2 linked regions of the Caenorhabditis elegans genome follow. Each later gene encodes a partner of the first gene's protein in a complex. Each region holds a gene or a part of one and is shown on either strand. Other genes may lie near its edges.

Region 1 (7,776 bases):
GCCGGCTCCAATAGAACTTGCTACATTTGGCATCAAACGAACAATGGTAGTGTTTCCCGAAACGAATGGCAACTGGAAAAATGTTATGTACAGCAAATTATGATTTCTAAAATTATTTTATAACTGCTTATAGTAATCACCTTCGCGTTGAGAACTTTTAATGGAACTCCAGCCATTACAGAAATAATAAATTCTGGTCTTGAGTTTACAGGCCAGCTTGACACAACTTCTTCGAAAACTTGAGGTTTCACACAAATCACATAGATTGCCGTCGAATATCTTTCCAGCATTTCCAGTGTGTTTGTGAAAACGTTTTTATATCCTAGTTGCCTCCATTTCTCAGCCGATTTTTCCGTTTGAACGCCAATTACAATATTGCTTTTCGGTGTAAAGCCTAAAAATTAGAAAACAATTTAATTCAAATCAACGAGGAGAACAATTTTTTAACTCACCTTTATTCTGGCATCCTTTTATAATTGCAGCGGCCATATTTCCACCTCCGATGAACACGAATGGCACAGACTCTGAGGACCCGTTTGTCAATTCAGTATCGATAGTCATGGTTTTGACTGAAATCAATAATAATTGTTTTTGACACAACAAAAAGCAACATATTAAAAAAAAAAGAAGAAGACATGAGCAGAGGTTTGCCCGCTTAACGAGATTCTGTTTCTCAACTGCGTCTCTGTGCGTTTAACATATAACTGGGTTCTATTTTATGTCTCTTGTTAGACGTCTAGACGTCTAAGTCTCCATTTATATAAAAGTTACAATAAGATATATTATGGTACATGCTGGGATCATTTTAGTACCGAAATTGACATGAAAAACTAGTATTCTATAAAAATTTGTATCTTAAAACCGTGAAAGGCACAGAAAGTCACCTAGATGATTATTTTGTCATCATTCCAGAGGCCGTATAGATAATAAAATATATTTGTCATCGGTTCAGTTTTGTCATCCTGCTCTGGAAAATAATTCAAAACGTTCAAACCACGAACAAAACAGTAGGAACAGGTGAAACACAGAAAATAAACACTTCAAAATTTCTTTAAAAAATGTAAAATTATTTTATTTATGATAAAAACTTGAAACATCTGAGCAGATACGGTAGACATATTAAAGGCGCATGCTGAATATTGGAGATGGGTTTTGGGACGAAAAACTACGGTCTTTTTTCGCCTGCCCGCGCAAATTTTAGGCGCGAATTTCTCTATATTTACACGAATCTTAATTCTTTTGGATATCATTTTAATTTTCAGTTATTTTCTCGCCTCATCCTAATAAATCGTTTCAGACTATTTATTTTTGATAAATATAGTGAAATTTCTGAATTTAAAGAAGTTTTCCGGTCTAAAATTACGTTTAAAAAAGCTGTATAGTTAGGAACACGTAATTTCCACGTTTCGATCAATTTTTACTGAATGTGTTAATTGTTTTTCATTATTTAATTTTTGTTCAACACAGTTAAAGGTAAGGAAATGTATGAGATTTGAAACGCTTTTCGTGTTTAGTTATTGGTTTTTTGCTTCAAAATTCAACTATTTGGTTCAAAAAAGTCTTGTTTCTCTCACTCTAACACTTGGAAATTGCGCCCTGCTGACACTTATTTCGGCGGCGAAAAACATTTTTTGAAATGAAATTGTTCACTCATTTTTATAATCGTTCTTCTGTTAAATTTTTTAATTAGAGATACCAGTGTATTATAATGTCGTATTTGCAGAATGGGTCGCCTAGGCGAAGCAAAAGCTGTGGACTTGGAAGCGGAAACGTCGACTGTGGGCCTTTATGATGTGTGCACCGTTGGGCGAATCCTTCCCCGTAAGAAAATAAAACTATTATCTTTATGATTAATGTAATTAAATGTATGTTTCAGTGTTAAATGAGATGTCAATCGATAAGAAATCTCCGGCATGGAAGCTCAAACCGAAAAGTAACGAGCGATTTCTTGTTCTTGCGTCGTGCTCCGATCTGGCAGTCTTCAGTCTTGGCGAGAAAAGCGACTACTCGTTCAACACCGGACTTGGAGGTATGAGCTATTTCAGAGTCTCTGGAATGATTTCTCAACATTTTCAGGAGCCATCACTGATTTCGAAATCCTTGGAAGTTCTTCCTTCTTTGTTGGAGTCATTGAACATCGTCGTATTGTAATTCTCTCGCTGGATAAACAAGAAATTTACTTGAACGAGCCAGCTCCTCATGAAATTGACTTCGTTGTCTGTCACACTACTTCCAGTGTTTGCCAATTGATTTTCGGGAGCCGATCTGATAATTGGCATACTATCACATTGCCAGGAGACGTGGCTGCATCTAAGGAGACTAACCGTTTCGAAAATTGGCACAGAGATCAGATTCAGGAATTTTTCCACCAGGTAACGCTCATCACATTCATTTAAAGTTTCAAATTAATTTTAATACTCTCTTTTCAGGCAATGGGAAAAACGGTTTCAAAGTCTGTTGACATGTCGAAGGTCGCAGGTGACATTACTCTGATCTCCAATGGGCCACTTCAGACGTTCGCTTCAATTGATCAGCAAAGAGGGATTCACTGGTGTGGTCTCGTCGAATCGGAGTTTGAGGTGATTGGCATGGAAAAACAATTCTTGCAAGTCCGTGATGGAGGTAGATTCTCTCTTCACCTCGACACGGATGGATGGATTCATGTCTTTGATTCATTGGTATCATCCTTCTGCCACGAATTTGACATGAAGATGTCTCCAGACGACAAAATTCTTGATTTTGTGATCATTGACAAGAATGAAGTTGAAGTTCCGAAGATGTTCGCAATTTTGGTTCTGCCACGTGACGGAGATAGCACAAAGGTATTTGAATCGTATTTGTTAAATTTTAATAATTTCTTTTTAGATGATGATATACGATCGATTGAATAAAGACAATTGTTTCGCTTTGGATTCATCCACGTCTACAACTCTTTTTGCTTATGGAGGAAGTGATCGTGTCTTGATAGCCGTTGAAGAATTGGAAAATTCTCTGGCAGACGAACAGGACGGCAGTCAAATTGTTGTCAGACAAGTCTCACAGTCTCGCCCTGAAATGCGTTTCGAATCTCTTCTGAAGAATAACAGATTTGAAGAAGCTGAGAAGTTCGCCATGGCATTCATGCTGGATGTACAAAAGGTTTACAAAGGACACGTACATTATCTGATGGACTCTTGTGATGAAAGCGATGAATCTTTTGAGACTCTGATGACGAAGATGGGACAAATTCAAGATCATAATATGGTTGCTGAAACATACTTCACTCTTGTTGGAATGAGTCGGCGCTGTGATCGTATCCGCACCTACTTGACTCATGCAAAGAAGCGCAGAATAACGGATCTGGATATTCTGAAAATGATTGAGGCACTTTGCTACACGTGGGGAACTTATCGAATCATTGCTGGTCCAGAAGAAAACGAACCAAGTCGTCCACAAGTTAATGAAACGATTTGGGATTTGTTCGTCGAAGCTTTGCATGATGCGAACCCGTGGATCGAAATCTATAATGAATTCATTTCTGACGCCCAGTTCACTGTCAGTTTCAATCTTATGAAGTTTTTTGTACTCAATCATACAATTTTTCAGCAAGCCCGTGTTATCTTCAGTCGCCATGGGAAATCTATAACTGATTATATGTGTGATGATGAGGAGAACACCATTTCTCGTCTTGAAACACTTTTCCGAATGTTCATCGATGCGATTTCTTCTGATATCAGCAAATGGAGCAATGTGATCGAACACGTAACGACAGACATTTTACCAGCATGTGTCATGATTACAGAAGAGGTGATTTTTAAATTAAAATTTAACTATGTTTAAATCTTTCTTTTTCAGCTAATTCCATGCCTCGAATCACTCATCACTTCTCTTATTTCACTTCTTGAATATCGAGATTCTACAAATTGGCCTGAGAATGCAATCAAAGCAGCAAGCAGTTACGATACCATGACCAAAATATTGTCGAACAATGGAAATACTCCAGCTACACAATGTATTCTGGTAATGTATGGAAGCAAGTTGGGATCTTCTGCCGGTAACAAGCCTTCGTCAATGTCACGGATCAAGAAGATATACTATGATTTGATTGAATTGAAACGCCTGAAAGATGTTTACGAGTGTTCAATCAGTTTCTCAGTATTCCAAAATATGTCATCTGAACAAATTTGCCACAAGATTCTTCAAAATGCGTTGGCCAACCCAAACATGACACATGCCAAAATTGAGAAATTCGTGAAGCCGTTCATGGCTGAACGTCATCTTGATCAGGAACAAACAATCGTCAATTATATCCAGATGATGTCAGGAGCTGCAGTGACAAATGCAAATCTTTTTGGATGGGAGAAACAATGTGTGCAGTTATGTGCAAGTCTCATGGATGAAACTCGACGTTGTTGCTCCATCATCTCGATCGCTTCAACTGCTAAGATTCCATGGCCAGCTGAACTGAATGAAGCTGTGGAGAAGATCCTTGCAAGTCGTACACTCCTGAGATCAGAAATTGAACAAATGCATTTGGTTTGTAAACGTACCGAACTCTACAAGATGTTATCGTCGTATGGCTTCAGTCGACAGGACATCGAACTGCTGACTACTCCTGACTCAAATATGGACATTATCTTGACAATTCGCTGCATGCTTGCTCATCGTGAAAAGGCTTCTCGATTTGTGGATGTGATCAAGTTGGTGGATTTGCTCAAAGCAATGCAAGGAAGCTCTCAACCTCGTACATTGAGAATTGAATATGTGCAATCATTTGCAATTATTCATATGATGTCTCATCAAGATGTAACCATTTCAATTATCAATTACATTGATAGTCTTGGCGATCGTGAACGAGTAAAGACAATATCTCTTGTATTTTCATTCATCGAATGCGTTGCCAATGCACCAGCAACTGGAGACAACGTCTTGGAACGCGAAAAGATCCTCGGGGTTGGTGAAGAGCTGATGTCTCACTATACATGTCGTGATAATAATTTCAATGATCCTGAAAGACGTTTAAAGGATGAGCTTGTCCTTCTTCGCGAAGTCCAGAAAACTGAGACTAAAGCAGTTCTTTTGTCTGAATTGAAAGATGAAGATTGGCAGCGACGGTTCTTGGAAAGATTGATCGAATCAAATTCGTCGATGAGCTTGGTAATTTTTATTTAATATGAACGGAATATTTTTATTATTAATTTCAGAATCTTGGAAGATGTAGCTACATGGGAATTTCACCGGAACATCTCATTGAAATGATTTTAACGAAAGCTACGGTAGAAAACGACATGGACACAATTGTTGATAGTATCACGAATTATGTCGAGTTCATAAATTCATTGACGGATTCTTCTCGGGAAATGCTTGAACCTATCGTGCAAATTCTGAGCTGGATTACATTCAGACTTCCGAAGTTACTACCAAATGAGACTGAGATGGCACGTGCTGACTATGTAAGTGATGGTTTCTGCAAACTATAAAAATAATTGATTTTCAGATTGCTTTCGTTGTCAAACGTATCGGCCGTGTTGTTCGGGAGACACTCAGACGCTTCTCTTTTGATGTTATTAGCGACGATCTTGATTATCTTCTACAATTGGAAGCATTTTATCACTTGGGAGAGCACATTATCAAGCAGTCACTACGAGGCCAAGAGAATGAAAATGAAAAGCAAGAAATGTTCAGATCAGACGATGATACATTCTTACCAACTGATTCTTCGAATCCATTTTCCAATCAGTCATCTCTCCGCATTTTTGAGTTCAAACGCCCACTGGGAACATTTGATTTCTCCAACGATCCAGCTTTATTTGAAGGAGTTCAAGGAGTTCTTGCTCTTGCGATGGTTGCACCTTCTGTTGCCAGGCCATATGATTCTGAGATCTCACCAGATGATGCGAATGAATTCAGATCAAGTTGGGAGCAACTAAACATGTTCCTTGCAATGCATTCACAAGATCTTCTGGATATTTCAGCTCGTGTGTTTGCCGGATCTCTCAGTAAGATTTATTTCCATTTTCAATTTTTTATTTTTCATTTCAGAATGTTGGGCTGGTGAATATCTACAAGGAATCGTTGAAATGGAGCAACCCATTCTGTCAGTCGTCGAAAGAATGCTGCAACAGAAAAAATTCGATTTCTGGCATGCAGTTACTCTTCTTGGTGGAATCCCGTTGGAACGATTAGACAGAGCTATAATCGATCTCCAGAAACGACAAGGTGTGAGAAGTTCGACGAAAGCGACAATCCAGTATCTTCAATTAGCTTTTGTGATGAGTTTGTTGGCTAGAAATATGGAAAAAGTTCCCACAATCGTTTCTGCTTATGAACAAAAGTATTTGGTGAAGAAGCTTGCTGAAGAAGGCATTCGTGTCTCAATTACTCAAGACTTTGTCGATAAAGTTCTACAACAGGCGATAGATCTGCGACAGCCACTCTCTCCATTGCGTCTTCATGAGTGAGTTTCATAAAATAATAGAAAAAATAATTTTGAATATTTCAGTTATGTCAAGAAGTATGTCGAAAAGTTGATTCGGAACTCGAAGATTTCAGTTGGAGAATACATGGTTCGATATGCGACTCTTCTCATTCGAAAAGCGTCTGTTGCTGGACGACACACTGATCGGGAAATTCGCAAAGAAGAAATAGAGAAGTACATCGAAGCAGCTAGAATCGCGTTGAGAGTAATAGTTGTTGAGTGATAATCTTTTGAAAATCTGTTTTCTTTTCAGATTGCCGAGGAAGAAGATGCTTCTTGCATTTGTAATTATCTCCATTGTTTGCTTTACGTTGTGTGTCCATATAACTACGAAGTCATCCAATTTATTGTAACTTCGTATGGAAAGTATGCCACTGAAACAGTCGAGATTGAATTTAATAAAAACTTGAAATCGGTGAGCCAATATTTAAAAAATAAAATTCAATTCATCAATGATTCAGATAATGGCATTCTTATGGGCTTATCAACGTACAAATCATATCAGTAATGAGGAATCAATTTGGTTTACGAAGCGAGAGAGTGTTCTAATGAAAGATGAGAAAGAGTTTGAGAAAACTGGAAGAATGCTCGATCCATTTGGACATTCACTTCGTGTTGTCTATGAAGATGACGGAAGCAATATGTCAGATTCGTATAATTCGGATTTGGCACTTTCAAGTGATGCCATGGTTTATGAGAGGAACAGTGTGATTATCAGTGATCTGCCAAGCCTTGTATGTCGACTGGCAATCATTTAATTGAAATCAAAATATTCTTTAATTTTAGGCGGAGCAATATCTTCCATTCCATGCATTCCTTCTTCGCAAAAAAGAGGAAATTGACGAAATTGTGATGGGAATTGTGAAAGCAGAATTATCGATCTTCAATGTTCCAATCTGGCAAACATTCCTCCGTGAAGTTTCTTGGCTATCCTCACGGTTTTCGCGTTCGCAACTTTTGTCATCTGCAATTTTTGCTCACGCCAACAAATATGCAAAGTTTGGAAAGAGTCTACCAGATGGAGAACGAAACGTGATTTATGAACTTCTTAATTCTGCGTCTCAACGTCATGTTGTGGTTTCGACGATCGCTCTTCTATTCAAAAGAATCATTCTCAGTGATGTTAAAATTGAACTTCTTCAAATGGGAGTCAATATTTCGGAGAGATGGACTTCTGATTTAACTGGTGAAGAACAACAGGAAATGGAAGAACAAAGTGCTCGATTGAAAGACGGAATCGCAAAGTTTTCTACCGAACTTGAACTGAAAAAGAATGGACTGTACAATGAAAAAACTGCGGATAACATTGAAAATGTATC
Region 2 (5,065 bases), 470 kb from region 1:
GACAGGAATTTATATTTTCAAATAAAACCAATGAAATAAGATTCGAAATATCACCTAGGAATCAAGCGATGTATCAAATTTCATTTAAAAAATGAGTAAGTTAATATCCACCAAAAGCCAAACATATAAAAGACTACAGTAATCATGGCACTTCAAAAAACGCGAATTGTTTATTACCACTTTTCATTTTCTTCAGGAATATGAAGAAAACGGAAAAAAGGAAAGCTGTTGCGATGTGGTGGATAAATGCAGAAGCTGCAGAGAGAAATAGAATAGAATAAACAAATAAGTAGAGTAGAACGTATTGTCGCCCGCCCGGGAAAGGAAACGGGCGGCCCTTGCGGACGGGATTAAAAGTCACAACTGGTTCAATGTGATGAAGCTCGACTTTCGCCTTCATCTGTGCCACCATCATATGACATACGCCTTCTGGTGGGCGCCCCCGACCTTTCAAAGTGGCGTCTTGTTGTCTGCACTCTCCAGAGGGCGCCAACGGAATGCATTTGAAAAAAGTTGGCAACATTCCAAGGCTATTGTGTCGAGTGCGAACTGATCGGAAACCGTCACCGATGTTTAACTTTATTCAGAAAACATTGGGGGAAACATACTGGAAACCGGTAAAACAGTGAAACACAACGCCAGTTAAAAATTAAAAATGAATAATGTATTGGCGTGGAAGAGAATATGAATTAGTTTAATACACATTATAAACGAGCGATAAGATCAGAACGATGTTGCGAGTCGGCGAATAATGCTTTAATCAGTCCAACAACTTCGGATCGGCTCAAATGTTCTGCCATTGGACCCTTAGCGTTGAACCATCGATGCTCGATATCCTGAAAAATTAGCATAAAAATTATTTATAATTTCTAGACTTTCGGAACAAAACACATGTAAATTTCATATTTATGTTAAATCAAAACATCAAAAGTCGACGTCCGAAACAAGGGTGTTTTTTTGATTTTTCACTATTTCAAAAAGGGTAACTTTTAATATTTTCCTTTTTCCAATATTTGAAAAAATCCAATTTTTGAAAATAAATTGCTTTAAATATTCGCAATTTCACTTGTTTTAGAAGAACTTTTTTATTTTAAAAAAGTTTCTCTAAAGTTCCATGGTCAAAACTTCACTTTCATCAAAACAATACTTTACACGATATTTGAAAAAAAACCAACCTGCATTCTGTTTCCAAGAACGAACACAATTTCATTAAGACGGAAATACTCTCGAGCACAGAAATCGGTCACTTTTGTCTGCTCCTTATAGGCGACAATATTGGCAACAACTTCCAAAAGTCTTTTGAAAACGTCAGCCATCACGTTAGCATCATTTTCGCGGAAATCGGAAGTGGTGACAACGTGGCGCACAAGAGAATCCAACAGGAACGAGACGAGTGATCCAATCACCTTACAGTATACCACCTCAGTCAAAGGTTCACGAAGATTTTTTGCAATAAGGCGAATATGAAGAAGGCAGGCGGCAAGACATTTGATAATTTTTGGCTCTTCTCTCGGAACAAGAATATCAGCCGACTCGGACATCTCTTCAGCAGCAGCAAATGTATTCTTTGTAGTCTTATAACTTGCAGGCAAGTGTTCAAAGATGCTATGATCCTCCAAATAAGCAGTCATTTCGCGACGGCATCTTGTCAGTGTCTTTTCCATGCAATCAGCGGCAACAGTACGCAATCTGATAACAGAATCAAGGAGCAATGGTTCCAATAACGTCTTCTGATTGTCACCACTAGCCTCAAACGACATCGTCATAATGCAGTGTGATATATAATGACAGTTGTTGTAAAAAATGGCAGCCATGTTCGGGATCGAACTGAACAACTCAGCATGCTTCCTTGGTGTGAGAATCACGTAGAGACGAACAATATTCTCGGCGGTAAGAGCGAGTTTCGCACGAGCACCTTCATCTTCACAGGCAAACGCAGCCTTCACGTTATCACGGAGAAGATTGACAAAGTTGATAGTTGATTCACTGAAAATTATTTTTTAGAAAAAAATAATAAACACTTTAAAAAATTACCTGACTGTACATTTCTGGAAAGCGAAGAATGATGGAAACTGCGAATCTTCATTATGGCTCCAAAGACGTCCAAGATCTTTTCCATATTCTTTAGCAAAATGTTCGGCATGTGTATGAGCCTTTGCAAGCAAATCAATATCCTTGATGGCTGAATCATCAACTCCAACTGTAACCAGTTTGTCATACGTTTCATTTATCAATTTATTCGCTTTTGAAACGATCGCAAAGCAACGACGAGTCACAAAAATTGTGTCCGTGTCAAGAGTGAACAGCAACTTTGCTTTCTGAGAAAAGAATCCGAGCTCCTTCATTCTTTCGACAAAGACCTCTCCAATTTGCAACAAATTAATGAACATCTCCTGATCTTCGTCAGCAGTTTCAGTGACGGGTGCTGCAATCGCAATTACATCTTTCAGTATCATAGTTATCAGTTGTTCCTCAATAACGCTTCCGATCATCGACGTGAAAGTCTTTCCAGTCGCGTCCAGCAGTTCGTGAGAATGAAGAACGGAGTGCAACTTCGTAAAAAACACTTCCATTGACCTGAAACAACCATATTTAATTAAATTTCAGAATTTTAAAGTGGTTTTCGCTCACTCGAGAACTTTTGCGACATCAATAGTCTTGTCCTTCTTGCCACGTGGTTTTTGGTTTATCAAGAATCTTGTCTGATCAGGTGTTGGATTATCCACAATATATACGTCAACACCATCGCGGCTAGCAACAATCGCTTCACAGAACACGTTCAAGATAACGATTTTCCAAGCGTCCAGTCGTTCTGGTAATTGTCCAATCATATTCATAGCACTTAGAGTTTCGTTCAGCATTTTCTGATCTTCCACGCTTCCAACATTGAATACTGAGAAAGAAACATTTGTACGATCTCCACATTTCTGTTTTGACAGTTTTGGAACATTCATTGCTCTTTCGTAGTCAGCGGACAATTGGTAACGACAATTGTAGCTTAAAACCGAATATTCTGCGGCAAAATGCTTCAATGGAACACTCATGTCGAAACCGTCTCGTCCAATTCCTTCAAGCAGCATGTTTGTGTCATTGAGAAAATCTTTACAAGCAAGAATAGCAGTTCCCCATTCTACACGATTCGTTGTTTTACTCCGCATAATTATCAATTGTTCTTCGACATTTTTCATCTGAAAACTCAATTGTTTTATATGCTTATTTTCGAACCATTACCGATTGCAGGAATTCCACCAGATTTTCGCAGCTTTGAGCTTGGGATTTAATCTCTGCGAGCATTTCGGGGCTGTCCTTTGCTGTCTGATCAATTAAGTTAGACAGATTTCGAGTAGACATTTCAGCTATATCCTCGAGGTTCTCAAGTCGGTCGAAAATAAGCTTGGCTGTCGCGTTAACATTGAGTGACACTTTCAGGTTTCCATACTTGTCCACAATGTCCTGCGAGATTGAAGTAAGTCCATTTTTCAGTTTTTTCTCAAGATCTCTATAGGATCCCTCGGATGACGCCATTTTTTAAGTTTCACAGCCTGAAAAAGAAAATGTTCTACGGAATTATTAACTAACAAATACATGAAGACAAGAGCATTTAAATTTCCCGCAAATAGAAAACATAAAAACGACAACGAGACACCGGTGCGCTCACTTTAGCAGAAAAATGTTACTCACGCGTTCACAGAGATGAAAATTAATAACGGGAGATGAGTTGCAGGCAAGTGACTGGGGAAAGAGTCAATTTAAAAAATGTTTAATTGAGAATTCAGCATTCGTGATTGCTTACTTTTTGAAAAAAGAGCGCCGCGTGAATAAAAACAATAACGTTTCTATGAAGAATAAGATCTTATTACGTATAATTATTACGTTGCAACGCGTTGAAAATCGATTTTAAAATCCTTTGAACGATAAAAACAAAAGTTTGTAAAATGATTTGAAATCGAAATCAAACTTCGTTCCACGCGCGCATAATTATGATTATTGGCGCCAATGTACGGTGTACATCCGTGTTTGCGTACTTCGGACATGCAGACAACGAGAGACTGAACAAAACTGAGACCCGAAGAACTCGGGGGATGTCCAACTGGGGGGATTCCCAACTCGGGGGATTGGCCACGCCCACAGAACCGTGCCTTACAATACGCCCATTTCTGCAACCTCCGCACGGTTTTGAATGATGATTTTCTTCATTGTTTTTTGGGGGAGAAAAATCAATTTCGACTCTAAAAAGTTCAATTTGAATTGTTTTTCTTCGTTTTTTTCAGCCATTTTCGCAAAAAAAAGTATTTTTCAACCGTGACTTGTTAATTCGCCCTCCTTAATTCGTGTATTCCTTTTGTTAATCTCTTTCCCTCTCATATTTTATCAATTTTTTTAATTTCTAGACTTCGTCGAATCGAGGGAAATTGCACGGATGAAACAGGGATGTGCTTCTCCAGGCCACCCACGTGAGTATTATATTCTCAAATTGTAGAAAGTAGGAAAAAATTGATTTAAGAACAAAAATTGAAATAGTTTAACAAAAAATTAATGAAATATCTTCGGATCGAACATATATGGACTTATAGAGGCATTGAAATCGTTGAAACAGCTATAATTTGCTGTCACTGCTCTTTTGAAGTCGGAATTTCTGTATAGTGGCGGGCGATCAGTTCTTTTCGATTGTACGTCTCTGTGAACGTTAAGACTCCAAACCGTAGACTTCTCAATTGAATTGTGTAGAATTTTGTAATTGCATTCATTTAAGCCAAAAGCCTCTAAAAACTAAGCGAATCTGATAATAGACCAGATAAAATCTTTTTTCATTTATATATCAGCGATGTCATTATGAAAGTTCTAATTTAAATTTTTCAGATCCGCCCGAGCTGCTCATCCTCCAAATTCTTCCGTTTTCATGACAAATTATTGTTTTTTTGTTGAAATTATGTAATTCATTAAATGTAATATTATCCTTATCTGTAAATAATTATCATGATCAATAAAATATCGCTCTTAATGTTCAATGAATAGCTTGCAAACCAATTTGTACAATAATTTCATTGAACAATTTCCTTCGGCT

Evidence for each region.
Region 2: rod-1 (region 1) and czw-1 share a complex: the UniProt entries of both Caenorhabditis elegans proteins name them as parts of the RZZ complex.

The regions. Positions count from the first base shown.
Region 1 is NC_003282.8:7,476,729-7,484,504, forward strand, and holds the start of rod-1 (Kinetochore-associated protein rod-1), read left to right. Parts: upstream 1-1,723; 5' UTR 1,724-1,724; coding exon 1,725-1,821; intron 1,822-1,876; coding exon 1,877-2,029; intron 2,030-2,076; coding exon 2,077-2,372; intron 2,373-2,429; coding exon 2,430-2,822; intron 2,823-2,865; coding exon 2,866-3,534; intron 3,535-3,585; coding exon 3,586-3,786; intron 3,787-3,834; coding exon 3,835-5,136; intron 5,137-5,183; coding exon 5,184-5,432; intron 5,433-5,476; coding exon 5,477-5,978; intron 5,979-6,021; coding exon 6,022-6,436; intron 6,437-6,481; coding exon 6,482-6,662; intron 6,663-6,710; coding exon 6,711-6,872; intron 6,873-6,918; coding exon 6,919-7,191; intron 7,192-7,243; coding exon 7,244-7,776. Other genes in the region: pycr-4 (Putative pyrroline-5-carboxylate reductase 4), read right to left, coding at 1-72, 141-394, 453-561. UniProt on the Caenorhabditis elegans protein: Essential component of the mitotic checkpoint, which prevents cells from prematurely exiting mitosis. Required for chromosome segregation, the assembly of the dynein-dynactin and mdf-1-mdf-2 complexes onto kinetochores and spindle pole separation.
Region 2 is NC_003282.8:7,943,051-7,948,115, forward strand, and holds czw-1 (Centromere/kinetochore protein zw10 homolog), read right to left. Parts: upstream 3,543-5,065; 5' UTR 3,526-3,542; coding exon 3,232-3,525; intron 3,189-3,231; coding exon 2,632-3,188; intron 2,578-2,631; coding exon 2,035-2,577; intron 1,987-2,034; coding exon 1,176-1,986; intron 837-1,175; coding exon 705-836; 3' UTR 570-704; downstream 1-569. Other genes in the region: F20D12.12 (uncharacterized protein), read left to right, coding at 4,421-4,454, 4,861-4,904. UniProt on the Caenorhabditis elegans protein: Essential component of the mitotic checkpoint, which prevents cells from prematurely exiting mitosis. Required for the assembly of the dynein-dynactin and mdf-1-mdf-2 complexes onto kinetochores.